Coturnix japonica: one gene and its partners. The protein of the gene in region 7 interacts with the protein of the main gene of each other region in a pairwise test. Links are inferred from orthologs where the notes say so. Each region holds a gene or a part of one and is shown on either strand. Other genes may lie near its edges.

The links.
Region 1: the proteins of RBPMS (region 7) and RBM46 interact in a two-hybrid assay, tested with the Homo sapiens proteins (2 studies listed by BioGRID and IntAct). The two-hybrid records come from large-scale screens. The link is inferred for Coturnix japonica from reciprocal best matches to the Homo sapiens genes RBPMS and RBM46.
Region 2: the proteins of RBPMS (region 7) and homeobox protein VENTX-like interact in binary tests that used the Homo sapiens proteins (3 or more experiments, as listed by UniProt). The two-hybrid records come from large-scale screens. The link is inferred for Coturnix japonica from reciprocal best matches to the Homo sapiens genes RBPMS and VENTX.
Region 3: the proteins of RBPMS (region 7) and SH3RF2 interact in a two-hybrid assay, tested with the Homo sapiens proteins (2 studies listed by BioGRID and IntAct). The two-hybrid records come from large-scale screens. The link is inferred for Coturnix japonica from reciprocal best matches to the Homo sapiens genes RBPMS and SH3RF2.
Region 4: the proteins of RBPMS (region 7) and FAM168A interact in binary tests that used the Homo sapiens proteins (3 or more experiments, as listed by UniProt). The two-hybrid records come from large-scale screens. The link is inferred for Coturnix japonica from reciprocal best matches to the Homo sapiens genes RBPMS and FAM168A.
Region 5: the proteins of RBPMS (region 7) and ATXN1 interact in binary tests that used the Homo sapiens proteins (3 or more experiments, as listed by UniProt). The link is inferred for Coturnix japonica from reciprocal best matches to the Homo sapiens genes RBPMS and ATXN1.
Region 6: the proteins of RBPMS (region 7) and NEU4 interact in a two-hybrid assay, tested with the Homo sapiens proteins (2 studies listed by BioGRID and IntAct). The two-hybrid records come from large-scale screens. The link is inferred for Coturnix japonica from reciprocal best matches to the Homo sapiens genes RBPMS and NEU4.

The regions. Positions count from the first base shown.
Region 1 is NC_029519.1:18,143,672-18,147,684, reverse strand, and holds the start of RBM46 (probable RNA-binding protein 46), read right to left. Parts: upstream 2,801-4,013; 5' UTR 2,679-2,800; intron 2,098-2,678; 5' UTR 2,033-2,097; intron 1,187-2,032; exon of another isoform or gene 1,178-1,186; 5' UTR 1,176-1,177; coding exon 1,025-1,175; intron 103-1,024; coding exon 1-102. UniProt on the Homo sapiens protein: Essential for male and female fertility, playing a crucial role in regulating germ cell development by ensuring the proper progression of meiosis prophase I.
Region 2 is NC_029521.1:18,715,140-18,719,392, forward strand, and holds the start of homeobox protein VENTX-like, read right to left. Parts: upstream 2,801-4,253; 5' UTR 1-2,800. Other genes in the region: kinase non-catalytic C-lobe domain-containing protein 1, read right to left, coding at 2,804-3,035, 3,259-3,416, 3,854-3,913, 4,016-4,138. UniProt on the Homo sapiens protein: May be involved in ventralization.
Region 3 is NC_029528.1:470,595-474,094, forward strand, and holds part of SH3RF2 (E3 ubiquitin-protein ligase SH3RF2), read right to left. Parts: intron 2,790-3,500; coding exon 2,692-2,789; intron 1,997-2,691; coding exon 1,815-1,996; intron 722-1,814; coding exon 378-721; intron 1-377. UniProt on the Homo sapiens protein: Has E3 ubiquitin-protein ligase activity. Acts as an anti-apoptotic regulator of the JNK pathway by ubiquitinating and promoting the degradation of SH3RF1, a scaffold protein that is required for pro-apoptotic JNK activation.
Region 4 is NC_029516.1:175,055,922-175,060,182, forward strand, and holds the start of FAM168A (protein FAM168A), read right to left. Parts: upstream 2,801-4,261; 5' UTR 2,779-2,800; intron 259-2,778; 5' UTR 164-258; intron 1-163.
Region 5 is NC_029517.1:67,238,656-67,242,940, forward strand, and holds the start of ATXN1 (ataxin-1), read left to right. Parts: upstream 1-1,485; 5' UTR 1,486-1,825; intron 1,826-2,355; exon of another isoform or gene 2,356-2,599; intron 2,600-2,630; exon of another isoform or gene 2,631-3,102; intron 3,103-4,285. UniProt on the Homo sapiens protein: Chromatin-binding factor that repress Notch signaling in the absence of Notch intracellular domain by acting as a CBF1 corepressor. Binds to the HEY promoter and might assist, along with NCOR2, RBPJ-mediated repression. Binds RNA in vitro.
Region 6 is NC_029524.1:3,620,374-3,624,400, forward strand, and holds the start of NEU4 (sialidase-4), read right to left. Parts: upstream 2,801-4,027; 5' UTR 1,952-2,800; exon of another isoform or gene 1,908-1,951; intron 1,779-1,907; 5' UTR 1,736-1,778; coding exon 1,430-1,735; intron 1,356-1,429; coding exon 1,100-1,355; intron 947-1,099; coding exon 54-946; 3' UTR 1-53. Other genes in the region: GAL3ST2 (galactose-3-O-sulfotransferase 2), read right to left, coding at 3,434-4,027. UniProt on the Homo sapiens protein: Exo-alpha-sialidase that catalyzes the hydrolytic cleavage of the terminal sialic acid (N-acetylneuraminic acid, Neu5Ac) of a glycan moiety in the catabolism of glycolipids, glycoproteins and oligosacharides.
Region 7 is NC_029519.1:30,663,444-30,667,676, forward strand, and holds the start of RBPMS (RNA-binding protein with multiple splicing), read right to left. Parts: upstream 2,801-4,233; 5' UTR 2,174-2,800; coding exon 1,922-2,173; intron 1,846-1,921; coding exon 1,807-1,845; intron 1,701-1,806; coding exon 1,638-1,700; intron 1,259-1,637; coding exon 1,108-1,258; intron 835-1,107; coding exon 704-834; intron 430-703; coding exon 367-429; 3' UTR 360-366; intron 249-359; exon of another isoform or gene 145-248; intron 1-144.

The DNA of each region.
Region 1 (4,013 bases), about 13 Mb from region 7:
CGGCTCTCTCGAAAAGAGGGACCAATTCATCTTCATAAATGTTACGAGGGATCTTACCCACAAAAACTTCACATCCACGAGGTGGTGGAGGACCTTCCCAACCTTAAAGTAAGTTTTGCAGCAAAAAAATCTTAAACCAAGCGTCACAGTCACACCATCACCCAATACACTTTGTGCTGTTGGATTTTAAGTGTTATTTTTGAAAACTGGTATTTTTGTATCTTTTTAGATTCCATAATCTTAAGTGCAAACTGCACACACAGATAATTCTTTAACATTCATCTGCTTCCTTCCCTTGAATTTGTATGACAAGCCACTGAAACCAGCATTATTTACAACATCACAGTGTTTTAAATAGCAATAGACACAAGTCGGTTGCAAGAGTCTGCATTTAAATCATATCTTTACTTCTCAAAATCATGTCACGTATTAATACACCTGATAGAACTTAAGAACTTGTTGTATTTTCTACTTGTAACATTTCCGAGTTATAAGCATTTACCTGCACTTCTTGCCCATATTTTAGGAAGTTTTAGTCAGAGTCCCCAGTGCCTGTATTGTTTTCCCCCCAATGCCATTCAAAAGGTCTGAACATTATGGTTCCACCTTCTCCATTCATCCACTATATAAAGACACCCTAAGAAGGTACGATATGGGACAATCATTTTTTTTCAGTGGCCAAAAACCATGAACATTTTTCCTCTTACAAAGAGATCAGTTTTCACAGGTTGGAGCCATATACTGCAGGAATAAAATAATAATAATACAAAGATCCACAGAACAGTTCCATGTTTCTGGCCCCTCTGGTCTATAAGGATATGCCTAAGAATATGTAGTCTTCATTTTATGTCTCTGCCATGTGCACTGACAGATATGTTCAACAATGCTATCCTAAACTAGAAATGAAGCCCAAATTCAGCAAAGTCATCAGGCTCAACAGAGTAATAATGAACCAGAAAGTATATTTCTGACATACGCAGAAACACAGTATAGGTATCCTTATGTTACCCAAAGAAAGGCTTACCTGGTGGAGGCCCACCAAATTTTCTTTGCCCGTTTTCTTGAATCATGTTGTATCCAGTCTTGTCTAGTAGGGCCAGTAAAGCAGCAGCCTTGTGATTACCGCCTCTCATTTTGTCAGATCCACTTGTTGCAGCTGAATTCTCCTCATTCATATCTGCAATAGCTTCAATAGTACATTATGGACATTTCTACTCAATCTCAAGCTGCTATCTTCATACAGAAGCCACCAGAGCACAGAAACACGTGCAATAGTTGGCTATTTCCTGTGGCTTCAATAAGCAGCGTAAAGCTACAATCCTATGTGCAGCTGGTATAATCTATGAGCTTGATTTCAAAACACAGTAGTGAACTTTAACCAGCAACTATATATTCCATCCTAAAGTTCTAATTTTATACAAGTCACATCATAGCTATTTGATAAATATGCCATCTCTTCAAACACAATAATGAATTACTTCTTAAAACTTGTCTCAGTTGTAAAGAGACCTAAATGCTATCTGCAGTGACAAAATCCTTATCGCTATATTCTAGGGAGCACCAGTGGTTTTAGAATTGGATTTAAGCCCAAAGAATACTTCTGAAATGCACTGTGTCCACCACTAGTTAATTCAAAGTATTCAAAGAATTTAGTGACAAAAATAATTCAAATAGAATCGATATTTAATAAAACTTGGTGGAACTGTCTGTCAAAACTAAGGGGCGGAGATAATCCCACTTCTGAGTTCCTTGTTTTCATGTTTTTATCCATTTTCATGCTGTTGAAAACCAATAGAGTTGTTACTGCTACATCCACTATTTGGTGGCATGCCAAGATCTCCTTTGGTTTCTGTCATGTAGGTCACACAGATCAAACCAAACCAAGAGGTCTATACAGGAATATATGAACTTCACCAGGCTGTTTAAAAAATTAACTTTAAAGTCAGATATGTTTTTCCAAGGCCTTTCTTTCTCTCCTTGCCCTATGTTTCCTATTCCCCAAATTTTCTGCCTTAAGGTCTGCAATACTTACCCAGGCAATCTTCAACACTTCAGTCCCTTGTCCAAGTGGTAGATCCAAGTGCTACGGTCTTAATTCTCCAAAAGAAATTGAACAAAAACAAAACATCAAAGCAAAACAAAACAAAAAAGACACATCATCTACAACTGTTGGGTTTCTTTTTGTTTGTGTGTTGTGTTGTTTTTTTTTTAATATCCCTTATATGTTAAGCTTGCTTTATCAATAAGAAATTGAAGCTTCACTAAGCAAAATCCCAAGGAATTCCCCACCTTCCTGGCAAGTAAAGCAGTTACAATCACATCCATTTTCATCAGCCACTTTCTCCTCTTGAACTTGTTGCTCTTGGACATTTTGTCCCATCACCTTTCCTTCTAGCTTGGTCACCCCAATACACACACAGCTCACTTAACACCTGGCTGTGTAACTCCCTAGCGCTGCCTGAAGCAAGAATTACTACAAATAAAGCCACACATCACACAATAAACACTATCCACTCCATCTTCAGGCCTCCCTACTAAAAACAATAAAGAGACCTGTGGTAGTTAGAAGTCTCACATACCCCACTACAGCTCCTCAAACTAACATTAGCCTGAAGAAACCGATACGAGGTTTCCACAAGACTCTATGCCATAACTACTATTACTCTTTTTTTCCTCACCTCAGCTCACCCCACCACCTGGACGGCCGCTATACGCAGAACGGCGCTGCCCGACCCAAAGCCGCGGCCTAGGCGAGCTGGCAGACAGGTGTAACTGACGGGAGGCAGCAGCCAATCAGCGCAAGGCACACAGCGGGGAACTGCGTGCGAGCGCTTTTAAAACGGGCGGGCGTTGGCTGAGAGGGGGCTGCTAAGCGCGCGGGTAGGGAGCGGGTGTTGGTGTTATGGGAGCGGCTGCCCCTCACAGCCCGGCCCGGCTACCGCAGTCAGCCTGGTCTCACAGGCATATTTGGGCCTCCAGCACAGGTTCTGCTGTGTGGTCACACGCCTGTGCACAAGGTCTGTGCTCAGGCCTTACTGTTGGCATTCACGTTTGGACCTGATAACAAAATAATTAGCTTAATAAGGATAAGAGGTCCCCCTGTCCTTTCCACACACACCTCACCCTTCTCCTCCAGATTGTGTGAGGGCTTTGCACTTCAAGCTCAAAATCCCAACAAGTATGGGATTAGGCTGCAAGGTCTTTTAAGTCATAGCTATCAGCACGCTGTGGCCCATTTTTCTTCATCTAGCAAATGAAAGACACTCACAGCCAAAATACCATCAAAGACTTCTCATGTACATCTTCCATAAGCATTAAAGTCAAAAGTGTTCTTCATAAGCTAAAGAATAAAAAAAACCTACAGATATGTGTATCTCATAACCTCAGGTCTTCCAAATAGAGACTGCACGCATGAAAGCATCTCATGACTAAAACAAAACCATTTCATGAACCCAGATTGCGCTCTCTGAAATATTGCTTTGCGTGCATTGGAAGTAGAAGAATCCTCACCAAGCAAACCCCTCAGTCAATCACCTAAAAATTAGTTTTACTTAATTTTAATTATGTATACAACGTGCAGTTGTGTTAAGTAAGTTGGAATAGTTGGAGTGAACAAAACTTCTCTGTTCCTCTTCCAAACAGATACTTCCTGCAGCACATTCTACCTTGTTTTTAGGCTTCCCCCTTCTCTCACACAGTACTGGATTGCATTGTTCATTCAGAAGATGCAGCCCATACATCATTTGAAAAGCCGTGACAGAAGATGGCTGATTAACATGCTAATACCCATTTCTAGCAGAGACTACCGTTCCCAACAAAGTGTTGCTTCCCTCAGTCATAACAACTCATTCCCTCCGTACAAAAATGCCACTCATCCAAATGAATGCCAAGTTTTAATTCACTCTGTTGTTGTTTTTTTAAATGAAGACATAATAAAGCATTGCAAAAAGGATAAGGTTCAAAAGAATGTTATTTATCAGAGAAGGTATTGCTTTATTGCTTTATTTAAATGC
Region 2 (4,253 bases), on a different chromosome or scaffold from region 7:
GGAATCATGAATCAATGGTGATTCATGAAATATTTTCCAGTTACTTGGTCTGGCCTTCTATAGAATACTTCCTGGGAATCAAGAGAATCCATCCACGTTTCCTGACAGGCTTCTGAAAGTTGGAACTGTGGATCCTGGAAACCTGTTTTCCAATGCAGCTACTGTGAGACTAGGACACAGTTCCCAGCACTCTTGCAGGAGTCCTGAAAAACCCAGGGACCCTGGGAAAAGAGACCTGCAAAGGTACACAGAAAGAGCACCAATGCAGAGGAATGAACGCAAGGAACTGGAAAGGCTCCCATGGAGAATATTTCACTGAAGAAACTCTACAGGTCATTTGTCTGAAAACCAAATGCTGTTTTCACATGTTATGATCTGTGCTTTCTTTTAAAGGGACATTCCACTCAGAGATGGAAAAGTTTAGCTCAAATCCTGCTGCACGTTAGTTATAAATAAGCAGTACCATTAGATGCTAGACATAACTTTATTGAGAAATCCGTGTTATGTAATTAAGATGTAAATAAGATGACAAAAGCAGTCTGGTTTCCTTGCAAAGGTGATTTTCCGCACCTACCCCAGTAGATACTTACACTTGTGGTTGTACAGTGATGTCTAAATACAAAAACTTCAATATTTGTTTGATGAAAACATCCCAAAGTAGTACCATACCTCCATACTATGCATTTATAACAACAATAAGCCTGACACACTGAAGCATTATGCAGAAGATACAAAATGACTTCTAAGTTCTTGTATAGCACCAGTTATTGTCACAGAATAAAACCAATATTTTCTAGGTGTAGTAGTTGCTTTAGATCTTGATAAAAATGGTGAGACATGTAAGACCTAATTAAGGTGGGTGCAAAATATAAACGCTAAGTAAATCCACAAAAGCAATTTCAATAGCCTGACTGGCAACTATATAAAATATATTTATTAAGGTAACACGAGCAAGTTTGTGGAGTTCTTTGCAGTAGTAAAGCTTATGCTACTTCAAATTGTTCTGTCTTTCAAAGGCAAGGCGTGGCTTTAAGTAAATATTAATTTTTTTAATGGTGAACTTATTTCTGAAGATGAAGTCATTGTGACAATCTTAAATCACTCTATTATTTAAATATAGGAGGTAATGATTAAATGTTTTCACATTTGGCAATTTTTAGAGAAATATTTTTAAAATTTATTAAAATAGAAACATATTTTTCATTCTCAAGCGTGAGCAGGAACACTAACGACATGTTAAACGTACATATGATAAGTAACAAAAGAAATCATCTTAAAAGCAGAACAAACTCAAGAAAATCCAGTTGAAGGCTGAGTTTTCCAGCATCTAAACCAGTAGGAATACAAGTATCAGTCTAGAGCTACCATATTAGTATAAAAAAATAATGGAAGTATTTACTGGAAAGAACAGACATACCTTGTGTTCAGTTGAGAAAGATGAGAAGGCCTGTGATGGTATATATTGCCATCATTGAGATCAGAAAAGGAGAATCTTTTCTCTTAAACATTGGAAAAAACTACAGTTTACCATGTACACATGCATTTCTGTCAAATACAATAGTACAATCTGCAAAATATTACAGATGTGCATATTCCCATCTTTCTCCATCATTAAAACATGCCAAGGCAATTAATTCACATCTGCTTTTTCCAAAATTTTACTTTCCTTCTTTTCCTTCTTTGTTAAACACATTTCCAGCAAATCAGTTACAGGACAGAGATCCTTCTATCTGTTTCTTGCCCTTTCCCACTTCTCTTCCAATACTACTATTGTTTCCTCTGGTAGAATTGTCACCTTAATTAACTTGTGGGTTTAAGATCTTGACCTTGCATGAACCTGGGTAGCTCAACAAACTTTCTAGCTAAAGCATCACTTCCCATTGCTGTTTAGGTATCTGTAAGCATAAGCTCTATGAATAGGTTAGCACCAAAGTTTTACAAGATGCATATCAAAAGTTAATAGTTATCTCCTATTTAATGCTGCTGGAGCACTGCAATTTACAAGAGCAACCTCAGGAGCAAAAGACATAACCAGATGTGCCCACCACATACATACATACACAATTGGCAAAGTGATTGATTTTTGTACCAGACACAGAAAAAGATCAACTCATGTTTACTTTCTTCACAAGACCATGGAGGCAGCAGCAAAGCAAGAAAGTGGTAATTATTTAGATTCAGATCGTACTTTCATGTGGAAACAGGCTAGTTCAGTGACAGTAAGATGAAAAGAAAAAAAATTTTACAACATGGTATTTCCTCTCCTTCCATTGTATGCTCAAATGAAAAGATAGACAATTATAAACCATCATGCATGGTTTTATAATACTCAACATAAAAGCAAAAACCACCAACAGTCAACAGATAGTAGAGACGTCCCTGAATTATATGCACATCATGATAGGATACAAATGTACTATGTTTATATAAAAATATATTCAACACTAAATTAACATAGTCCAAATAATCCTAGGACAATTTTGCAACAGAAGCTGCAAGTATAAGTTGCTACCACAGTACTTTTCAGATATTTTGCCTGTTGGCTAATTATTATTTTATGCAAAAGGACAGTGACAAAATTAGTCTCTTTACTTTTCACCTTTATCCACTTGCCAAGGAATCATACTTCATTAGTCAGCATTTCTTTTTTTTACTATTCCACGTTAAGTAATATACCCATTTCAAACTGAGACAATATTTTAAGTCACTTAAGTATTTGTTTGGGAATTGGTTCAGGAAGTAAAGTCAATTTAATCCGGTATTATACTCTATACTTGGAATAGAACAGATGAAATGTAAATAATTACTGAAATGTTGCCTTCATTCTGCGCAGCGTGTCCTGGATTTTCCGAGAATGTTTTTCTGCTGGTATATGATGGAAGTTGGCACAGTTGTCAGCGGCCAAAGCAGAAATGTCTGCATCCTTAAAACGAGTTATTCTTTGTCTGAGGTAAGACTGCAGCTTGTAATCCGGTGTAAATGTGTAAGGATTCTCTTGAAATGCGTGAACTTGGCTCACAACTTTCGCAATATTTCTTGAAAGAAAATATGTTTAAAAAGATTAGTTTATGTTGCTATTGACAGAAGAAAAAAGTTTCAAGGAAATAAAAAAGCACTGAGCATTTACCTCTACAGTTTTTGTCCACTTTAATGTAAAAATGACTGAATTAGCTAGACTTAATTTGCTAGATGGGAAATGCATTAGCTCTCATTATCTCATTAGATAGCATTCTATCTTTCATACAGCTAAATAATTACCTAAGTTTAGTCCATTTGTGAGCTCCATTTGTCATTGTGAATCCTCCAGTTTCAAGTTGTTGGACATGCATAGCTAAAACATGGGCAGATGGAATTGTTGGAAGTGTTTTGAATCTTTCTCCTTCCATCAAACACAAACTGTCACTTTTTAGAAACACCTATTGTGAAAATGCACACAGATAAGTAACGTATTACATTTAAGGCTAGTCTTTATAAGGAGTTCTTCGCTTCAGGTGCTGAGCACTACATATCATATTTTTCATAAGTTCTAGTTCACAGCTAAAATTGCATTTCAGGATTTTTCAGAATATATTACATTCAGAAAACTCCCATTTCTTGAATTCTTCAAGAAAATATATCTAATTTCGCAGTTTGCTTTGAAATGACTTTCTTGATTCTTAGTCACATGGGATACATTTTTGAGAAAAACTGAGGTGAAAATGTAAACCCAGACCAAGAAACAACAGTCTGACAATAATTTAAAATCTCCTTTGTAATTCAAAACACTAATTTTGGCTTTCATTACTCCTTTAAAAAGAACTTGAGTCTCCCTCACTCCCAAAGAAATATTTTATTTAAAGACCACATACTATACCTCAACAGCCTTGAGTTCTTCTATTATTTCAGCTACTTTTGCAGGTAGAATTTTCCAGGCCTTATAATAAAAGAGAACACATTTTTGTTTCTCATATTAATGTCCATATTTGAACAAGCTTATTTTAGGCAAAATAGTTACAACAGAGAGTCCCAAACTTACTGGCAACTGTCGTACAATAAGATTCTCCAAGCCTGCTAGGATTTGCATTGCAGTAGCAAAATTTCTTTGTTCATAGCAGGACTTTGCTATAAGAAGAAATTTTGATAACAAGCTCACCTGCAGCTGGAAAAAAAGAATTTAGTTATACCATTTTTTGTTCTGCTCATGTGGGTTTAGAAATTATTACATTCAATCATTTGCTAGGAATATGCTTTATTCGTATACTGTCTGAGCTTGG
Region 3 (3,500 bases), on a different chromosome or scaffold from region 7:
AACGTGTTTGCAGTTTGGTGGCTCTGCCAGTGGTGTGGGGATTGATTCTAATGATCCTTGGGATCCTTCTCAACTGAAGCTGTTCTATGGTCCATGGGAACAGTGGGGGTGGGTAGGGTTTGGATTTAGAGATATTAGAGGTCTTTTCCTGCCTTAATGGTTCTGTGATTTATGGGGAGCTCAGTGAGATTCATGCCTCACCATAGACCTCAGAAAGCCTCAAATTTTGATCACTGCCACTGAACTGATGAACACTGGCTCCCAATGAAAGGCATACTGCAGCACTTTGCTTTTCTGAAGGGCTTAATTCCAACAGCAGAGTCAGCAGCACCGATAACCCCAGCAGCACCCATCAGCCCGTGGGCAGCACTCTGTACCTTGTCACTGCTGTTACGGGACATGTCCGGCTTCACCAGGATGGATGGCGGGGCTGACGCGGGTGGCCGGGGCACTGACTCACTCTTTGCCAGTGTGTCCATGGCGTCCAGGATCACCGAGCTGCAGACAGATGGAGTCCTACTTTCCCCTCCTCTGACTGTGAGCGCTGGCGGGGCTTCGTGGGAGAAGCTGGGCCTCGTGCCCACCTCAGCTGTGCCAGCAGCGGGGCTGCTGTGGGGCGGGCTGCCATCATGTGGGTACGGCTGCAGCCCGGCTGTGGGCACACGGCGCAGGGAGTTGCCAGCCTGCAGCCCTGCCTGTGCCGGCCTCTGCAGGGACCCATCTGGGGGCGAGAGTAGGGGAAATTGGTTAGTGAGGTTCCAGCAGGAAAGCACAGGGCAGCAGCATGCAGCGGGAACCAACAGCACTGTAGGACATACTCCCAGTACTGTCCAGCCCAGCATGGTGCTGCCTGCCTCTCTGTCCTGTATGGAGCCCCCCCAGGTGCCATGGGGGAAGCAGCACCCACAGACCTGCTATTCTCCATCCTTTGCAGTCATGCTTTTGGCCAAGCATGTCTGTAAGTTTGCACCCAAGCCCTCCTCTCATCCCTATAGTTTGCTGCCATTGGTTGCTCTGCACTGGCTGCTCCATCTGCAGCTGCTCTCCAGGCTGCAACACTGGAAGTCGTGCACTTTATTTATTTGGCAGTGCGTCACTGTTTGCAAGATGGATTTTTTAATAAGAGCCACCACAGGTGTGTGAGGTCCTCTACAGCAAAACTGCTTTTAAGATAAACCCAGTGCTGAATCTAAAACCTCCAGCAGTGGCCCTTGCAAATGCGCTGGGCCTCGGCCAGCATCGCTGCCCATCTCCACCCCAACCTGGGGACTGTGCTGTGGCTGCTCAGACATTCAGTGCACCTTTCCACCTGCAGCCTATTCATGACTTCATGTATCTTGGATGTTTCTAAGCTGTAAAACTTTGCTCCTGAAACAAAATTATTCCATTCTGTTGCTCATCCTTTCTATGCTCGTTTCTAATTTTACTCTATTGGAGTTATCAGAATATGAGAAGTATTCAGGAGATGAGCTCACCAGAACTCCTACAATGGCACTGCTGAGTTTTACCCTTTTGTTCTGAGCTTCTTTCTTAAGAACTCCTGATAATACCTCATGCAACCTTCTGTAACTTCCTCTGCACATGGAGCTCTCGAGGTCCTCTGTGACAATCCACAAACCTCTCTCTGGAGGACCAAAACTAACGCACATCCCAGTGCTGTTTGCTCAACCAGGGCTCACTGCTCCCCATGGCACACTGGCACTCAGTGCCATTCCTGCTTCCTTTGCTCGATGTTGGCAGCACCTCGTGGATCCTTGCATCCATCCCAGACACAGCCCATAGCTCAGCCCATAGCACAGTCCCCCTGCACTCACTCTTCCTGGTGCAGCCGCGGCCGCGCCGCAGTGCTGTGTGCCCCATGGGCAGCGCTGCCTCCAATGCCCGGCTCTGTCGCTGAGCGCTCTCTGAGTTGCTGCCCTGCGAGGACAGCGAGGCGGCTGACAGCGTCCACGAGGCGTACAGCGAGGGCAGCTTCGAGTCGGGTGTGCTGGGTTTCCTGTTGGCAAAGGAGCAGAACGTCAGCTGGTGGTGGAGGGAGGCGGCGGTGCGTGCAGACGGAGCTCAGCACAGTGAAGTCCTCCAGCCCTGCATTCACAACACGGGGTTTGGAGGGCCCTGCACAGCTTCTGGGGCACTGCTGTTACTGCAGAGATAACTCGCAGGGAATAACCTGCCTGCAGTGTTTGACCAGAGGGGATATGAGAAAAAGAAGGGCCAGCAGAACTGAAGAACTGTAGATTTTGTCACAGCGTCTGTCTCAGAAGCAGCAGGTAACCAGCCAAGGGCACTGAGCAAGGAGAATGCTGCCGTGCTACCCTAACATACAGGTGCCCACTGACAAAAGGGATGGAGGACCAACGAGCCTTGGCCTGAGGCAACACACCATGAGTAGTGCAGATGTGTGCTCTGCCTGGGTGGCAGCAGCAGGAACAGTCAGAATCTGTCTCAAATCTTTCCAGCACTGTACCTAAATTTTTCCATAACCCTACAACTACGTTTGGGATCAGCTGCCCCAGCAGTCCCTGCAGCTCCTGCTCAGAACTGCGGACACCCATGCATGTCCCCAGCCCAAGGTGCACAGCCCTGCACCCCAATGCCCCTCCTGCAGGCAGGAGCCCAGGGAGCTGCTGGGCTGGGGATGGGGGAGATGTGGAGTGCTGTGTGACCCTCAGCACGATTCGCATGACTCACATGTTGGCTGAGAGGTGATGCTGCAGGTGGGGCAGAGTGACAATGGCTGCCGAGTGCCTCAGTGATCCTGGAGCAGGATAGTAGGATGCACTGACCTGCTGAGAGAAAACAGAATGCAGTATATTAATGTGAAGAGGGGCTTATTTTTGCCACTGGAGAAGCCATTGAAATCACTGGACAGGCCTCACCCATGCTTCCAAAAAGATGAAAACGAGACACAGAACCTCATTTTGTTGCAGACAGATCCAGCAAATGAGGTGCAAGGTCATTCAATCAGCACAGGTTTTGCTAAGGAACATGGACCTGCCCTTACTCTTGAAAACAAATCTTACAAATTGCAGGAGCAAAACAATTGAATGTGAATGTCCTGAGCTGTCCTGGCTGGTTGCTGTGTGTGTGTCCAGCAGTGCAGCCCAGGATAAATGGCACCAGGACAGCATCACCTCCTGTCACTGCTCCACACCGCTCCCAGAGCCTCCGCTCCCCTTCTGCAACTGCTGCCCCTTCTGTTGTGTTTCTGTGCTCCCCCACCAGCACCACCCCAGTGCAGTGGCTGTGCTTCACTGCGCTCTGTGCTCACACACCAACCAGCCCAGCACAAAGATCCCTGTGAGTCTGCAGGAGAAAAATGGTTGTTCAGAAGGAAGGAAACCTGACCAGGCAGCACATCATCGGTGCTGCGGTTTATGCTGTTGACAATAGCTCACACCGAGACACTTTGGGTAAAATTATATTGGGGTCATGAGACACGGTACCGATTCAATTGAATTATGGTTCTATTGTAGGGCTTCATTTCCTCTCACATAAAA
Region 4 (4,261 bases), on a different chromosome or scaffold from region 7:
CACTAAAAAGCCAACTCTCACAGCTCTTTACAAGAGCAGCACACACCTACTGTGCATTCTACCCCAGTCCTCACTACCTCAGACTTAATAACTCCATAAATCAATGCAGTATTCCCATTCAAACGTAACCATTTGAGTACACCACGCAAATGTGAGTCAGTACCTTTTGTGAACAAACTTCCTTTGGATGGAGATGATCTGGACGGCGACGTGCCTTGGGCTGCGGGGCACTGGGACTGGTCACAGCATTCCACAGCTCTAAAGGAACAACAGAAAGAGAACCATCAGTGAGGCTCTGCTGGCAAACCCAATGCACAGAAAGCACGGCTTGTCCCATCGTGGAGACGTCGTCATTTGCACTGCAGCAAGAGCAGCAAGGCATGTGTGTATGAATCGGACCCACTGCTGTCAACTGGTGGGTGGGTGCATCTACTGCAGCTCCCTTAAAGTAAATGTCCATTTGTTTAACCTCTAAAAACTCAAAGAATTCATTTTTCCATCGGGATTTCCAACAGATTATTCAGCATTTGCATCCTCTCTTGAATCAAGACTGAGAATCTTCCTGTAGGCATCTGCTACGCTCGGTGGCTTTGGGTGGGATACTCACGTGGTGCATCTTGCACTAAGGCTGAATGAACTGAAACTCAATGCTTTCCTATATCCTGCCGGAGAACTGCATATATCTATTATAGATAGATATATAGATATATAGATATATAGATATATAGATATATANATAGATAGATAGATAGATAGATAGATAGATAGATAGATAGATAGATAGATAGATATATATATATAGATAGATATATCTATATATATAGATAGATATATCATATATCTATCTACTGCATATCAGTCAGCATCAGGAGCAGACAAACCAAAACCAAGATCTTCTCAGCTTCCAAAAAGGAGAAAACACAGGAACTTGGAGTGTTCAGAGTGTGTGGGGCTGAGGGACATGGGCAATGGGCATGGTGGGGTGGGCTGGGGGTCTTGGAAGCCTTTCCCAGCCTTATCAATTCTATGTGTACGCAGTTAACCTCTCTCTCTCTCTGCCTTATAACACAGTGTGTGTGTTGCTTGGAGATTCCTCACATTTTTGGGGTTTCTGGCTTCCTTTACAGCCTCCCAGTTCAATGACATAACTACAGAATGCAACAAACCGTCTCCAGGAGAGAGAGAGGAAAGGCAAAGTGAGCTCCAGCAGAAAGGACGACTTGACAAATCTCATCACATCACGCTCAGCACTGGCAAATGAGTCTCTCTTGGAGCACATTTTGTACTCCGAGTAGCCTCAGTGCTTCGGGAGGTACCAAATATAACACAGCCCCGTTTTAACTTCCTTCCAGGAATACACACAGCCATTTATCAAGAAGACGTGGGCTGCAGCTTCAGTTCCAAAAGCTTCGGTAACATTTTGTCAAATGAAATTATTCCTTTCGTAGTGAGAAAGAAACAAGAAAAGCAATGTGGGTACCAGCAACCTGAGTGCAACCCCTTCCTCACAGCTGCACCCCCCCCAGCATCCTTGAGTGTGCCCACCTATGGGACCAACCCTCTTTCCATCCGTTTTACACTAAATCTGGATGCCTTCGCCCTCAGTGCTTCACTCAGCAGATCCACCTTGGTAGCTAAATTTGCCAAGTTTTGCATTTTTTTTGTTTTAATTTATTATTTTTACATCTTTACACCTCCATGGCCACAGAAACCCATAAATTCCTCGTGCTGAATGCACGAGCGGTGCTTTCCTTCCATATAACCAGCTTGGTTCAGCAGGACAGCACTGCAGTGACCTTCAGGGCAGGGAATTATCAGCAACTTCATCCTTCCACTATTTTCCAGCTGTAAACAAGCAGACAGAAGTGTTGTGCCCACCTCCTGTTCACCACATCACTTGGGTCATCCTGTCCATTACCTACAGCCACAAAGCATCTCTGCTCTCTTCTCTCTTTCAAAAAACCCTCAGAAATGGTCAGAACTGAAGATAACACAAATGAGTACTAGCAAAAATCAAACTTCTGTATGAATTCTGTATGACACTTATTAGACATTGAGACAAGGAAAACATATTTTGAAGAGAAAATGGCATATGAGGAGCCAAGGATGGACACAAAAGCCAGTCTTGGGTTGCTGGAGCTGAGGGGTTTTGCTTTGTTTTGGCTTCTAAAGTTTCTGGATGCTGCTACACCTTCTCCAGTCCACTTAGATTTAGAATCACAGAATCATTCAGGTTGGAAAAGACCTCCAAGATCCCCAAGGCCAACCCCAACCCAGCCCACCATACCCACTGCCCACATCCCTCAGTGCCACATCCCCATGGTTCTGAACACCCCCAGAGATGGTGACCACCCCACTCACTGGGCAACTGTGTCACTGCCTTATAATGCAGTTTATTTGCTCGTCTACCAGATTTGTACAAGTGGAAAGCCACCTCAGTTTAGGGTCAGGGCTCTTGCATCTCCTGCTCACCACTCTCAGCTTCCTACAGCCTTCTTCAGAGGGCCAAAGTTGCAGCAGCTTGCTGAATAAATTCATTAACACATTTTGCTCAAGTTTCCCATTAACTTCTAATTTCCTAATTACGAGATTACATGCTCTACCTTTTAAAGCAATTTACCTCTATCCAGTTGAGCAAAGAAACCCAACAAAGGATTCCTGCAGCTTACTCCCTGAGTCCTCCACTCACTCCCATTGTGTTTTTGGTGCCAAAAAGTTTAAACCCTTTAACATTTCCTTATAAGATTACTAGGGCTGCTTAGTAAGAAAAACCTTTACCTACTATCTTCACTAACTTGGCAGCAGGCAGAGTATTCTTCATTTTATTTCTATCCTCCTCTGCTATGACCAATATTAAGTTTGCTTCTTTTCACCGTTAGGATGATCTCCCTGATTCTTCTGTCGTACTTCCATCCATTTCTGTCCTTTTCTATCCATTGCTTTTGTTCCTCTATAAAAATCAAGACTCCAGAGGTAGGAGCTGGGAACACGGGTTATGAAATGGATTAAGAATTAATTAGAACACGTTGTTTAAAAACCTCACCTCGGCAGACTGTAGAGCGTTAGGGCAATGCTGTGCTGGCGCAACTCATTTAAAAACACACTCCATGACTTATCAAATGAAGATGAAAACCTTCACCGAGTTCCTGACATGCTGTAGAGTACAAACACAGCCTTCTCAGCCGAGGAAAAGACTTATTTAGTTGGGTTGCACTGTGCAACTTTCATCCTGAGCTATTTTTCTTCCTCAAAAACCTTCCCGACTGATCGAATCGTGTGGTCGTCCAATGGGACTTTCACCAGGACTGTGAATTTGGAAGGAACAGAAAAGCATCAGGAGGTAAAATCCTACTGGATGAAGATGGAGCCAGGCACTCAAGCACTCGATGTTTTTAAGTCCTATTCCCTTGGTCTACTCAACACTCCATTGGTCTTAGCCAAAAGGCCAAAGAACCATTCTGCATTCCACAGCCTTGTGTTTAAACCTCTGGGCATCCCAACTTTGCAAAACCAAGAAGGTTCTTCAGCTCCAATGAGTAAAACTCAGTTGACTGAGATTACTTAATGAACACTCCTCTATGCAGTCCCCAGGTGCTCCTACCCCCATGTTCTTTCAGCCTTAAAGCACCATCCTTCTCCCAGCACTGCACAGAATCATAGGTTCACCAAAGGTTGGAAAAGACCTCCAAGATCATCGGGTCCAACCATCCACACATCACCAGTAGTTCTCACTAAACCAGGTCCCTTAATACAACGTCCAAATGTCCCCTGAACACCTCCAGGTCCATCTCCAGCACCAGCTCCATGTGCTGGGCTGCATCCTTGTATCAAACAGTTCTAATCCTAGACAGGAAAAAATATTCAAAGGCACAGAAGTAGATGGTTAAAGCCATTCACCTCCTGTTTCCATCAGTGTTACAACACCACGGTATTGCGAATCTGATATTCTCTCTTGAGCAGCCTCTACTTTCTAAGACACCTTAAGGTTATTAAGCCACAAACAACTTTGCAGTCAAAAGAAAGCAAGTTAATTATCTAAGAGCAATGTTCATTGAAATAATTTACTACACCACCGACGGCCTTGAGCCTTCAAAGTCTTGGAATCATTGGAAAAGATCTCTTTACAACTACAGCAGCCTCAGTTCGACCTTATTGTGTATTGGGGGAAAAAAAATCCAAGAATAACATTCTGTTACGAGCACTAAAAGAAGGATTAATGAGAACATGGCAAACAATCTATTCAGACATGAAGACAAGCATC
Region 5 (4,285 bases), on a different chromosome or scaffold from region 7:
CAGCTGTCTCCAGCCTCTGCCTCTCTGCCACGGTTCCTTTTGTTAAATCAATGAACCTTGCATTAGCTGGGTGAGGATATTTTTGCTGTCTGCCACATGGCTGTGGATGCACCATCTCGTTGCTGAGTGGCACGGGCATCCAGACATCCGGGCCTGCTGCTGTCCCCAGAGTGCTCTGAAACAGGCATTCACTTTGGGTTATGTAGCAAACCTGATCTGGAGAGGTAGAAGTTGCACTGTTAAAATATGCTTGTGCTCATAAAGCCGGTCTATAAGACAGTACCAACTCTCAGTCATGAGCTGTGCAGATTACCATGTTGTTAGCACATTCTCTAGGAAATATAGAGGACGAGTACAGTCATTCATAGAAGGGACTGCTTTGCTGATCTGCATACTGACAGAGCCCTAGGGTCTTTTGCATCCAGACTAACGCTAGATCCAATGCTGAAACACAGCGGTACTACCTGTGGACACACACGTGACACATCGGCACTACAGACATCTGCTCGGAGCTCACAGCTGTGCTGGGGGGGGGGGATTGGAAGAGGCTCAAACAACAGCCCGCTCTGGGCAGCCACGGCACAGGGAGCGCACGTGCTGCTCTCGGAGCCCTTCTGGAGCTGAGACCCAGCCTTGGGGGTTTATGCAGCATTTCGTGTGGTGACTTTGGGATGGGGAGAGGCTTTCCCGGCGCCGTGCGTGCCTTCCTGATGCCAAAGCAGAGCGAGCGGTTCCCTGCGCGGCAGTCGGGTTGCCAGCAAGCAGAGCAGACGCCGTCCCGTGCCTGTGTTCCTCCCATTCATTTATTCGGGGAGAGGCGGGCAGTGGTCTGCGCGCAGCCGGGAGAGACGAGCGAGGATTGTGCCGGAGCGCGTACGAGGAGCGCAGCGGGAGCGAGTACCCAAACATGCGTGGTGCAGCCCTGCCCGCCTCGTAGTGCGGCGACGGAATGAGTCAGAGCCTCTTTGGTCTGAATGAAGTGGAAGGTACTCTCTACAAAGCAACTCGAGCATACGCCAAGGATCCGGAAAAATAAAACTAATTCAGAAAACGGGAGTGGGATGCGGGCTCCTGCGCTACGACGCTTTGAACGGCAAAACGCAATATGGCATCTTAAATAAAATCACCCTCCCCTGACTCTCACGGCGCTGCCTCCGAGCCGTCCCTGGCTCGGGTTTATTTCCTCCCTTAGCGACAGCCCGGCCGAGGCCGCCGCTCCCGCATCCTGGCCCCGCTCTGCTCCCCCCGCTGGGCAGCGCGTCCCTCCCGGTGCCCGCCGGTGCGTCCCTCAGCACAGCGGGCGTCGGGGCGAGGAACGGCCGGGCTGGGGGGGTAAAAAGGGGGGAGGAGGAGGAGGGCGGCTCGGCCCCGGGCGGCCTCCAAAGGGTTAAGGCCGGCGGCCCCGGCGGTGCTGAGCGTATGCAATAATCTGTGTGGCTCTCTTGGCCGCCCGCCAGAGTGCTGCCTTGCCTCCTCCTCCTCCTCCTCCTCCCCCCCGCCCCCCCCTTTCGCGTGAAGTAGGATCCTTGAGCTGTTGCAGAGGCAGCCAACTGCTCCATATTTGGCTTCTATTACACATTTACATACTGGAGAGCGGAGCGGCAGCGAGCGCTGTACTGCAGACATCATTTCTACTACAGCGCCGGAGCAGCCCGGAGCGTGTCCCCGCGGGGGAAGGAGCCCTCACTTACACACACATACACACGCACACATATACACACACACACACACATACACACCCGCAGACCCCCACCCCGGGAGGACGGCGGTGCTCGAGTCTCAGTCCGACCCCCCCCGCCAGCCCCACCTCCACTGACACTTTACAGTAAGTGCCTTTTTCTTCCTCCTCTGCTTTCTGCCCCTCCACCCCCCCCGCTCCTCCTCCTCCTCCCCCGGCTTCTCCCCTTGTTTGGGCTGCGGAGCCGCCCGCGGTTCCCGGCTGGAAAAACACGGGGCTGGGGGCGGCTCTGTGCGTGTATATGTGTGTATGTGTGTGTGTGTATATGTGTGTGTGTGTGTGTATATGTGTGTGCGGGGGGGCAGCGCTGCGGCCCGGCCTCAGGGCCCGGCCCGGGCGGGGGCCGCGACATGGCCGAGGGCAGCGGCCTGGGCCCGGGGCCGGGGCTCGCACGGCCCTCCCGCTCCTCCTCCTCCTCCTTCCTTCTCCCTCACCCCGCCGGCAGGGTGGACATTTTGCGAGCGGCGGCCTCGGGGTGTGTGTTTGTAGCCGGGTGTGTATGTGTAGATGTGTGTGTGTGTGTGTGTGTGTGTGTGGCGGTGCGGTGCGTGACGGGGTGGTGACACGGCCCCTCCGTGTGTGTGTGTGTGTGTGTGTGTGTGTGGGAGAGAGGAGGGGGGGGGCCGCGGCCGGGCCGCACGGCGCATGTAGTAGGGGCTGGGCGGCCGCTGAGGGTGAATGAAGCGAGCGGGCGGCGGAGGAGGCGGCGCTGGGACGGGGATGTGGCCGGCGGCCGCCCCGCGCCGCTGCTGTCGGGGCCCAGGCCGCCTGCGGACAACGCCCGGTACCGCCGCCGGGGGAGCGCGGGCGGGAGGGCCGCGGGGCAGCGCCACTTTAACCCCGGCCGGAGCTCGGGGTCGGGTCGGTGTCGTTCGCTATTACCCCACCCCCACCCCGGTAGGGACGCGGACGCCGCGATCCGCGAGCGCGATTCCTGGGGGTATCGAAGTCTCAATTAAACGCGCTGCGAAACGTCAGCGCCCGCTGTAATAGCGATAAGAACGCGACGGAGCGGGGAGCGCAGAGGAGGAATTACCGAGCGGCACTGACGGAGGAGCAAACAAGTCGGAAGCCGTTATATAATGCGGGGAGCGGCGGCTGGTTGGGCGCCGCTGACCGCACGGAGCGCAGCGCCGGGCCGAGCCGTGTGGGGGGACATCCCGCTCGGTGCCGGGCGCCGCGGGCTGTTTGTCCGTCCGTCCGTGCGTGCGGCGGCGCAATGAGGGCTTTTAATTTCGGTTTCGAGCCCTTCCGCGGCGGTGCGGGCCCGGGCCCTTCACGCAGCCCTTCGGAGACCGCCCGGCCCCGCTCCGCCGAACGATGAGAGAGCGCTGCTATGGCAACAGACAGCCCCGGCCGCTCAGGTGTGCGCGCCGTGAGCCCCGCCGCCTCCGTGCGGGGTGCGGGGACAGGGACGGGGGGAGGCACCGCACAGCGGCTCCGTCAGGGCGCTGCGGGAGCACGGAAACTTTGCCGCTGCTCCTCGCACCCAGCCCGGCTCCGTAGGGCCGGGAATTGTTGGTACCGCTGGGAACGTGAGCAAGGAGCTGTGCGCTGAGGGGCAGCCGGCTTCCTTTGCCCTCGGTGAACAAACCCGAGGGGGCATATCGTATAAACATCGCCACGCGGCTCGTTGCTGATATTCCGATTGATACCACTTTGCGTTTGTGCTCGTTAACATACAGCAGAGAGCGAAACTTTCCGCCCCGTACGGCGTGTTGCCGTGTTGGAGCGGGCAGTGCGGCTCCTGCCCTCCCGGAGCAGCTCATGCCGGCCCTTCCCCTCGTTGCCCGCACACGGGCGCAGGCGTCGCTTCGTGCAGGCACCGAATGTGGCGCTGAGTCGTAATGCCGCGGGCCTGGAGCGGCTCCAGGGGCTGCTTGAGAGCCGCGCACACCGTGTGTATATCTGGGGTAGCTCCGCTCGTTGGACTCCGGCCAGGCGCAGAGCAGAGTAGCAGAGCTCAGGCGCTGATCCGCTGCCTGCAGCCATCGTTTTCCCAATATCTTACCACGGCAAAAAGCAACGTGGGATTTTTTTTGCCCCCTGGAGGTGCCGCGTTAGCCACGTGCGTCCACGCTGCTACGGAGCGCAGCCCGGAGCACTTCGCATCTCGGCGGTGAGAAGCTGCCGGCACCGTGAAGCACACACACAATCACAGCATCACAGAATGACCCGGGTTGGAAGGGACCTCAAGGATCATGTAGTTCCAACCCCCTGCCTGGCAGGGCCACCAAACATACACATTTACTAGATCAGGAGCACCGGAGCTCCCCGGCAGCCCCTGGGCAGTGCACGGTGCCGGCAACTTCTCACCGCATCTCTTCTCCCTGCCCTGCTGTGATTTACTCGGAGAGGCTGAAGGAACCGGTCTTTTATTGTAAGAGACATTTACAAGAGGCCTGGAATTGCACTTAACGAACATTTTTATGTAATAGATCCAGTGGCCTAGTTTCATCTTAATTAAGAAAATAGACGTTAGATGCGCTCACCTGAAAAGCAACTGATTGAAACATTAGGATGCGAAAGTATTGGTCTCAGAGCAAA
Region 6 (4,027 bases), on a different chromosome or scaffold from region 7:
TAGCTGTCCTCCTCTGTCCCTGCCATCCCCTGCCAGGAGCACTGCAGGTGGCTCTAGGAGACACAACAGCTCCTTCTCCTGCGCTTCCTGCGGGGCACTGCGGCTGTCAGGGGGATGTTCTGGAGCACGTCGTGCAGTGTGAACATGCTGAAGGAGATCTGCTCATAGGGCGAGCGCTTCCCGTTCTCATACAGACAGGCAAAAGCGATGGCTGGGCCACCAGAGACGGGGAACTGGCTGTGGGGCAGCTCCATATAAGCCAGGTCTGAGTAAGCGCTCGGACCCTCGTAGATGACCCAGGGCTCAGTCCAGCTGTCTGCGTCCCTGGGGAAGGTGCTGAGGTGAACCCCCATGTTGACCCGTGACATGGAGCTGGTGGGGTGTGAGTAGAGCACCCATGTCGGCGCTTGGAAGAAGGGCCCAGAAGTGCCTTTGGGGTCCCTTTGGAGCGATGCATAGCTGTGAGGTCCCGCTGAAGTCCCGCTGCCAGCAGCCATGGCAGGGAGTGCCTGCAGAGCCGAGCGGGGCTGAGAGCCGTACACCAAAGGTGCGGGGAAGCCGATGATGCTGCCATGGCAGCCGTGTGGGGGCTCGACCAGCCGTGGGACCAGCTGCCCCCCATGGAAGACAGCCCCATCATCAGTGCTCAGCGCCTGGACGCGGAAGCCCAGGGGGCTGCGGGCATTGCAGTAGAGGACATTAGAACCGTCCTCCTCATCCACCGAGACCAGCTGGCACTCTCCTGTCTGCAGGTTGGGGATGAACTCCCCAAAACGCCAGCCCTGGCCGTGGTCGTCACTGTAGAAGGCAAAAGAGTGCGGGGTGGTCTTGCAGAGCTGCCCGAAGCACTCCTTGCAGTCGATGTGGTAGCTGTAGGCAGGAACAAGCAGCCGGCCCGAGCGCAGCTGGATCCCATGCCCTGGGCCCAGCGCGAAGGTGGCCCACTCTGGGGACAGGGGGACAAGCATTACCAGTGGTCCCCTCCATCATGAGCCACGTTTCTGCCCCTGGACCCTCACTGGACCCCAACCCTGCAGCACAGGCTGCAGCCTGATGCCTTTGCTCGCCCTCCCACTGCCCTGCAGGGCCACAGTGCTACCTTTGATGGCCCGGCCGATGACCTGCTGGGTCAGGTCGGTGGCCTTGCTCCAGCTCTGGCCCTGATCGGCGCTGGTGACGCAGCAGAGGCGGGTCACGTTCTGCCCGGTGACGATCTGGAAGGCTTCGGGTGTCCTGCCCAGCACCGTGATGAAGAAGAGGAAGAGGGTGCCGGTGAACTCATCATAGAGCGGGCAGGGGTTCATCGAGCGGTGGTGCTGCAGTGCCGCCGTCTCCAGCACCCGCATGTCTTCCCACTGCTCAGAGAGGGAGTGATGAGCCCCCCAGCACCCCTGGGGCCATTCCCCCCCCCCATGGGCCCCCATCCCACCTCCACGTAGCTGCCATAGACGGTGCCGCGGCGCAGCACCAGCAGGTTGGCGTGGGCATCGTCGGCGCTCAGCCGCTCCTCGGCGAAGGCCAGCAGCTTGGCCACACAGGGCAGGTAGAGCAGGGCTGGCACACGGTATGTGACACCGGTGGACTCCTTCTCAAAGAGCACGGTCCGGGCAGGGAAGTGCCGGGAGCCCATGGTTCCTGCAGGGGACAAAAGGGGCAGCCCCCACCAAATGGGGACCGGGGAAAGGGGATGGGGGAGATGCACGCTGCCAGAAGAAGAGAGAAGGCTGCTCTCCATGCTGCTGGTTGAAGAGGTTTCTGCAAACCCAGGCTGGCCAGGGCTGGGATGGGAAATGGAGGGGCCATCCTCTGAGCTGAGGGTTAGGATCCCATCAGCCCCTCCCTCTGCTGCATTCCCACCAAAGGCCCAGGGGTGCTGCCTGCCCTGTGCTCTTAGCTGGGGCACTCACCTGCATTCTGCCCAGCACCCTGCAGGTAAAGCTCAGGCACTCACCCGGTGCTGCGCAGCGCAGCCCTGTCCCCTGCTGCCGGCTGTGTCTCCCCTTGCAGTGTCCCCCACCGATGGGTCACGGGGCCCAGCAAAAAGCCCTGAGTCAGCAGCAGCACAAAGGCACCATTATCAGGCAGCCAGAGCCTGGGCCCCTCCGTGTGTGTCTGGGCTCAGGGCTGGGGGGAGAGGATGCCAAGGGGATGTGCCTCCTGCCTCTATTTCCCTCCTGCCAGCCAGGGAGCGGTGTTGGTGCCTCTGGATCTGCCATAGCCTTGCATTGACATCCCCTCTGCTGCCTGCCCTGCTCCAGCCAACAGAACAGCCCATGGTGGCCCCCTCACCGCCTGGCAGCTCAGTGCCTTGCACACCTGAATGAAGCAGTGTGGAATAAACTGCTCATCAACAAGTTGTGCCACAACTGTCCCAAAACCTTCCCATGCACATCCCTTACTGCTGCCCTGCATGGCAGGGTGGGCACCCTGGTTAAACCTGAAATCCTACACCGTATGTGGAGGCAGGCATGGTAGAAGCTGGCAACAGGCTTTAGAAACCAGTGCCAAGCCCAGCTGTGGTGTGATGGCAATCATTAATGGCAGTGACGCTGCAGCTGTCACTCCGCAGGAGGGTTTGGCACTGCTGTGCTCCCTGCGAATTGGCCACATGCAGAAGTCCCAGGAGTTTCATTCTCTCCATCACAAGTGGATGCCCAAAGCCAGCAGTGCTGTGCCTCCCTGGACCCCTCTCCTATTTGGTGGGGGAGAATTTGGCTGTGGGAGCAACAGAATGTGGCAAAGCCTCTGCTGGTGTTAAAGCACCAATGCTGCCAGCCCGGAACCCTCATTCCTCTCCCATACCCCTGTGCCTTCCAATGCCGTCTTTCCTGAGCACACTCCAGTCCTCATTTCCCTTCATCCCTTCTCTTATGCGTTCCTAAAAGCAGGAAACCATGATTTGCTCTAGTGAGATTTAACCAGCCTGGAAACAACAACCTCTATTAAGAAAGGTCAAATGCAAACAAGATGATTAAGCTGACGATTAATGTTTAAGTGGAAAGAAAGCCCAGCCCAGCCTGAGAGCCTACCAGTGCCCAGCAGCACCCGGCTGTCCCCTACAGTGTGTACAGTCCCCTGCTGTGACAGCAGCATCATGGACTTGCTCATTACCCAGCTGTGTCCTTGCCTGGAGGCCTTTTGGGAGCTGCTACAGCCTCAGCAAATCTGGAAGGTCCAAGTATGTGGTGGCTGCAGTCTCAGTGCCCAGAAGGGGCTGTGCCCTTTGGAAGGTCTGGCATCCATACAATGAAAGAGGCAGTAAATATAAAGAAATAAAATATGACTTTCTTTTTTTTCACAGAATGAACGAGACTGTGTAGAGGTAGCCCTCAAATGACCCCCTGTCTCCCCATCCTGTGCAAGAGTCTCATTGCCACACTTGGCTGATGCGAAGGGCTGCAGCATTGGGATGCTTGAGCTGCAGTGCAGAGCACTACGTCTTCTGGGAACTGCTCCACAGCTTAGGGAAGTTTATGGGCTTCCTCTTCTTGTGCGGGTACTGGAGGGAGTAGAGGTAGGACGTGTACTGCAGCTCTGGCATAACCATTTTCTGGCATTTTTTCAGAGTCTCATTGTCTAAGTCTGGCCTGAGGTTATAACCGAGGATATTTGCTGACCCTGACTGGAAAGGCAAGAGAGCCTTGTCCTTGATGTGAGCCTTCACCACAGCCTCCTGGTCCAAGAGGCAGGTCTCCATCAGTTCCTTCTGTCTCATTCGCAGCCCATTTACCTCCTTCTCCAGCTCCTCAAGCCCTATGGTCTCCTCAATCCTCCTCCAGAAGCTCTGGTTGAAGTGCAGGTAGAGCTTCCAGTCCAGCGAGCACCACTTTTTTACCCTCTCCTTGCTTTCTGCAGTCAGGGCCTGGACAGTCTCATTGCTTCTGGAATTGAGCTTGAAGTAAATCACATCATCTAAATCCCAGCACAAAGTGTGTTTCAGGAGGATCATGGACTCATCAAAGTAGTCTGCTATCAAAATCAGGTGGAAGTTCTGTTCGGTCTCATCCAAGACAGACTGGACATAGTT
Region 7 (4,233 bases):
AGAGGAGTGTGACCAGTGTTGCTATAGGGCAGGAAGCTGTATGGCAGAGAGGGGGTGGGGTGACAGGGCAGTTGGAACTCCCACCCCCGCTGTGGATGATTAAGCATGGGGGGACAGCCTGTGCCCGAGCACTGCGCTCCTTACCAGCACACTGTGGTTCTGCAGAGAGCGTGCGTGCCCAGCAGCCGCCGGGGGGCTCTGTTCATACCCACAAGACTGACCGTCGGCCGCCATCACACACCCGAGACCTGTGGGTGGCATGGCAGGGCTCAGGGATGGGGCTGGCACGTCCCCCTTCCTACCCAAGTTTTGGCTGGCACCGCAGGTGTGCTACACGGAGGACACCGGGGGGCACTTACACAGCATTCAGCAGAACTGACGGGACTTCCAGCCCTGAGACCCAGCCTCGGAGGGAGGGAGCCAGCGCATCTGCAAGACATGGGGGCAGGGGGTGAGCAGGAAGGAAAACTGCAGCAAAGGGTAGTGCAGCCATACCCTGGGGCTGCGGTGGCTGCAGTGCTGATTCCTCCAGGAGGAGCACAGGTGCTGCCTGTCAGCGCTGCCTTGACAGGGGAAGTATGAGGCTGCAATAATATTTACCATTGCTCTTCCTCTGGGCAGCTGGCCCCAGAGCTCCCCTCCTTTCCCTCCCTCTTGCTCTGCCTGTCAGAAAGGCTGCAGTGCTGTGAGCCAGTGCCATTACCTGGGCATGCAGCGAAGCAGGGTATGTGAACGCAGGAGGAGGTAGAGCAGGCGTCAGCTCCGCTGGGTACAGAGGGTACGGCCCCCACACTTCAGGGCTGCCGGGGTAAAGTGCAGGCACTGTGAGCTCATCTGCAGGAAAAGGAGGAAAATTAATCCTAAAAGCAAGGGGAAAGTGGACAGCAGGTATAAGCTTTGCACTTCTGCCCAGGCCACCGTCACCTGCCCTTGCGTCATCCCAAGCACAAGCAGCTGGTTTCCAAACCCAACCACAGTTGCCGTGCCTCTCCAAAAGCTTCCCTGCACCCAGCTCCTAAGGTATCACTGCCCCAACTGCTTCAGTAAGAAAGGGGCATTGCCAGGGCCATATACTGGGCGGACCAGGGTCAGGATGCAAGCACTCACAGGGCTCCCTGGCGATGAACTGAGGTACAGTGTTGGGGAGGGGCGTGCTGGGGTTGGGAGTGCCCATCAGCTTGCTCTTGGCCATCTTGGTGTTGGCTTTAGCAAACTCTAACCGCAAGGTCTGGGGGATCTCAGGGTCGAAGCGGATGCCCTGTGGAAAGGAACAGGGCAGCAGAGGTCAGTTAGGCTGAATCTTGTGGTAGGGTGCTGCCCCCCATTCAAGAAGGCCATTTGGGCTAAAACAGCCTCGGATTTTGTCCCAATATCCCCACGGGCTGCTGGGGTGGCCGTGACCTCATGTGCTTGGCAGCGAGCATGGCCCCGTGGCTCACATTCCTCTGACATCCTCGAGCTCAGCACCATATTTGGTAGTCGGTATCCCGTGCAGCCACGCTCCCAGCAAGGGATTAGCGGCGTTTTGCCTCAATGCAAGGATGGGGAGGAACCGGGCTTCCCCAGGAGGTCTCCACGGGGTAATAGATACTGGGATCCATCTCTTTTGGTGTTCCCTAGGGGGTCCCAGCACTCACGTTCAGTGCATTCTTGGCGGCCTCAGCTTCTGAGCGGCTGTCGAAGCTCACGAACCCCACGGGCTGCGGAGAGAGGAGGCGAAGGGCGGTCAGGGCCAAGACCCCACCACATCCCCAGCAGTTGGTGAGGGCAGCCCCCAGGCAGGTGGGGGCACGGTGCAGCCCATACCTGCTTGGAGGTGAGCTTGATAAGTGACCCCTCATAGCCCTGCGGGAGAGAAGAGAAGCACCATTGGTTTCATTTGGCCTCAGAGGCCCTCAGAGCCCCATAGCGGGTGCAGTACCTTGAAGGGCCTGAAGAGCAGGTAGAGCTCGCGGGGCTTGATGTCCAGGGGCAGGCCGCTGACAAACAGGGTCCTCACCTGCAGGGGCAGAGCGTCAGCTGGTTGTGGGCCTGCAGGAGGCTCCCCAGGGCCTCCAGGCCACGCTCCTGCACACAGCTCTGTGCTCACGGCCTCAAGGAAGTGCCCGCTGTGAGCTGTGTTCCTGAAAGCTAAACCCGCCCGAGCCTGACTTTCCGGGTAATTTAGCCCCATGGCTGCGCAGCAGATAAGAGAGATAAAGGCCCTGAAAAAAAACCCTCCGAAATTAGGCCTCACAGAGATGCGGCTTCTCCTCGGTAATGACTTGTTTTCTTTGAAAGTTCAAACGCAGGTCGGCCAAGTCGGGCCAGTGCTGCGGTGCTCAGTGAGCAGGGAGAGAAGCGCAGATTACAGCAGGAGCTTGAAGGGGGGTGGTGGGGGAAATCCCATTTAGGCTTTTCCCCCCTGCCCAAAACCAGAGACAAGCAGAGGCTGGGGAAGGAGCTGCGATGCGGTCTCCCCAGCAAGGAGCCGTGGGGAAAGGCTGCCCCTGCTCTGCCACGGAGCGGGGCAGCTCCCTGACAGAGGCTGTGGCTCTGGAGCCTTCCCCGGGCCCTGCAGATGCTGTCAGTGCAGGCCGGGGTGGGCAGTGGCAGAATCCCCTCTGTGGGGGCTGGGGACCCCTCCCGGAGGGATCCTTCCACGCCAGTGGGCTGACACCCCCCATGGCAGCCCCACCACCCTGCCGCGCTCAGCCTTTCTCCCCGGCTCGCCTTCACCCCTCACCATCCCTCGTCACAGCCCGGGACTGTCACCAGGCGAGGGTGGTGAATGTGCTCCGGAGCCACCCCGTGCCCACCCCACCGCACCCCTCTGTTTCTGCTGCTGCCCACGGACAGACCGGGGCGCAGCCTCGTGCCTGCTCCGTCCCCTTCGCGCTGTCCCCGCCCGGCAGGTTTTCTCCTCGCCCCGGGGACATTCGGGGAGACCTGGCGGGCCTCGCTCCGCCCGAGAGCGGCCCGGAGGCGGCTCGGCACAGCAGCGGCGGCCGCGGGCGGTGCGACGGGCACCGGGTCAGCGCCGTGGCCCCTCGGCTGCCCCAAGGACGCGGTCACGCTCCGCCGCCCCAGCGCCGAGCTCCGCCGGTCAGCTCGGGCAGGAAGGGACCGTCGGGAGGAGCGCGGTGACTCATTCCCCAGGCATCCGATCACCTTCCCCGGGCTCGCTTTAATGTTCCACCAGCGGTGAGCCGCTCGGCTGCCCCCGCCCCGACCCCCGCCCGCGGCGTGACCGCGACCCGTCCTCGTGCCCGCGCACTCGGGGTGAGGGCGCGGCGGCCGGGCAGCGGCGGCACCGACCTCGCGCTGTGCCGGGAGCGGTGCCGCCGAGAGCCGAGCGGGGCCGCCGTCCCGGCTCCCGTCCCCGGCCAGGCTCTGTGCGCGGCCGCCGTGCCGCCCGACGGGACCTTGTGCCGCCGCCTCCGCTCCGGGGGACGAGGCGCCGTGCCCGCACCCCGCGTGAGTCCAAGCGCCCCGCGTCCCACAGCCCTTGTGCCGAGGCGCACCCGGCTCCGGGCCGCTCCGCCTCCCCCCCCACCAACTTCCATAGCTTCCCGCCGCGCCCCGAGCCCCACGCCCAGGCTGACGGGACCCCGCGGACACGCGTGGGGGCCGCACCGCTCCCGCCCCGGGACCCGGCCCGCCCTCGGCGGCTCCCCCTCCCCCGCCCGGCCCGCTACCTCCTCTTCGGGCAGGCCCGGCTCGGCGGGGCCCTCCCGCTCGGCGGCGCCGCTGCTCATGGTGCCGCCGCCGCTCCGCCACCCGCCCGCGGCTGCCTCCGGCGCGGCCCTGCGGCGGGCGGGAGGGAGCGGGGCCGGGCGGGGCGGGGCCGGGCGGGCGGCCACACGGCGCTGGGGGAGGGACGTGGGGACACGGGGTGGGACGGGGCCGGGGACGGGAGCGGGGGTGGGACGCGGAGCTGGGGCGACGGGACGCGGGGTGGGGATGGAGGACAAAGGGCTGCGGTCTGGGACGTGAGGTTCGGTGCGTGGCACGTACGGCTGGGGACGAGGACGTTGGAGTTGGGACGTGGGACGCGAGGTTGGGTACGTAGCACGCGGGGCTGGGGACAGCGATGGGGACGCGGGCCGTAAGGCTGGGAGCACGGTGTGAGCACATGGCACACGGGATGCGGGACAGAACGTGGAACAAGAGGTGTGACACAGCTGGGAACACAGGGCCGGAAGGCGTGACAACGGCTGGTGTGGGGAAGCCAGTGGGACACAGGCGGCTCTC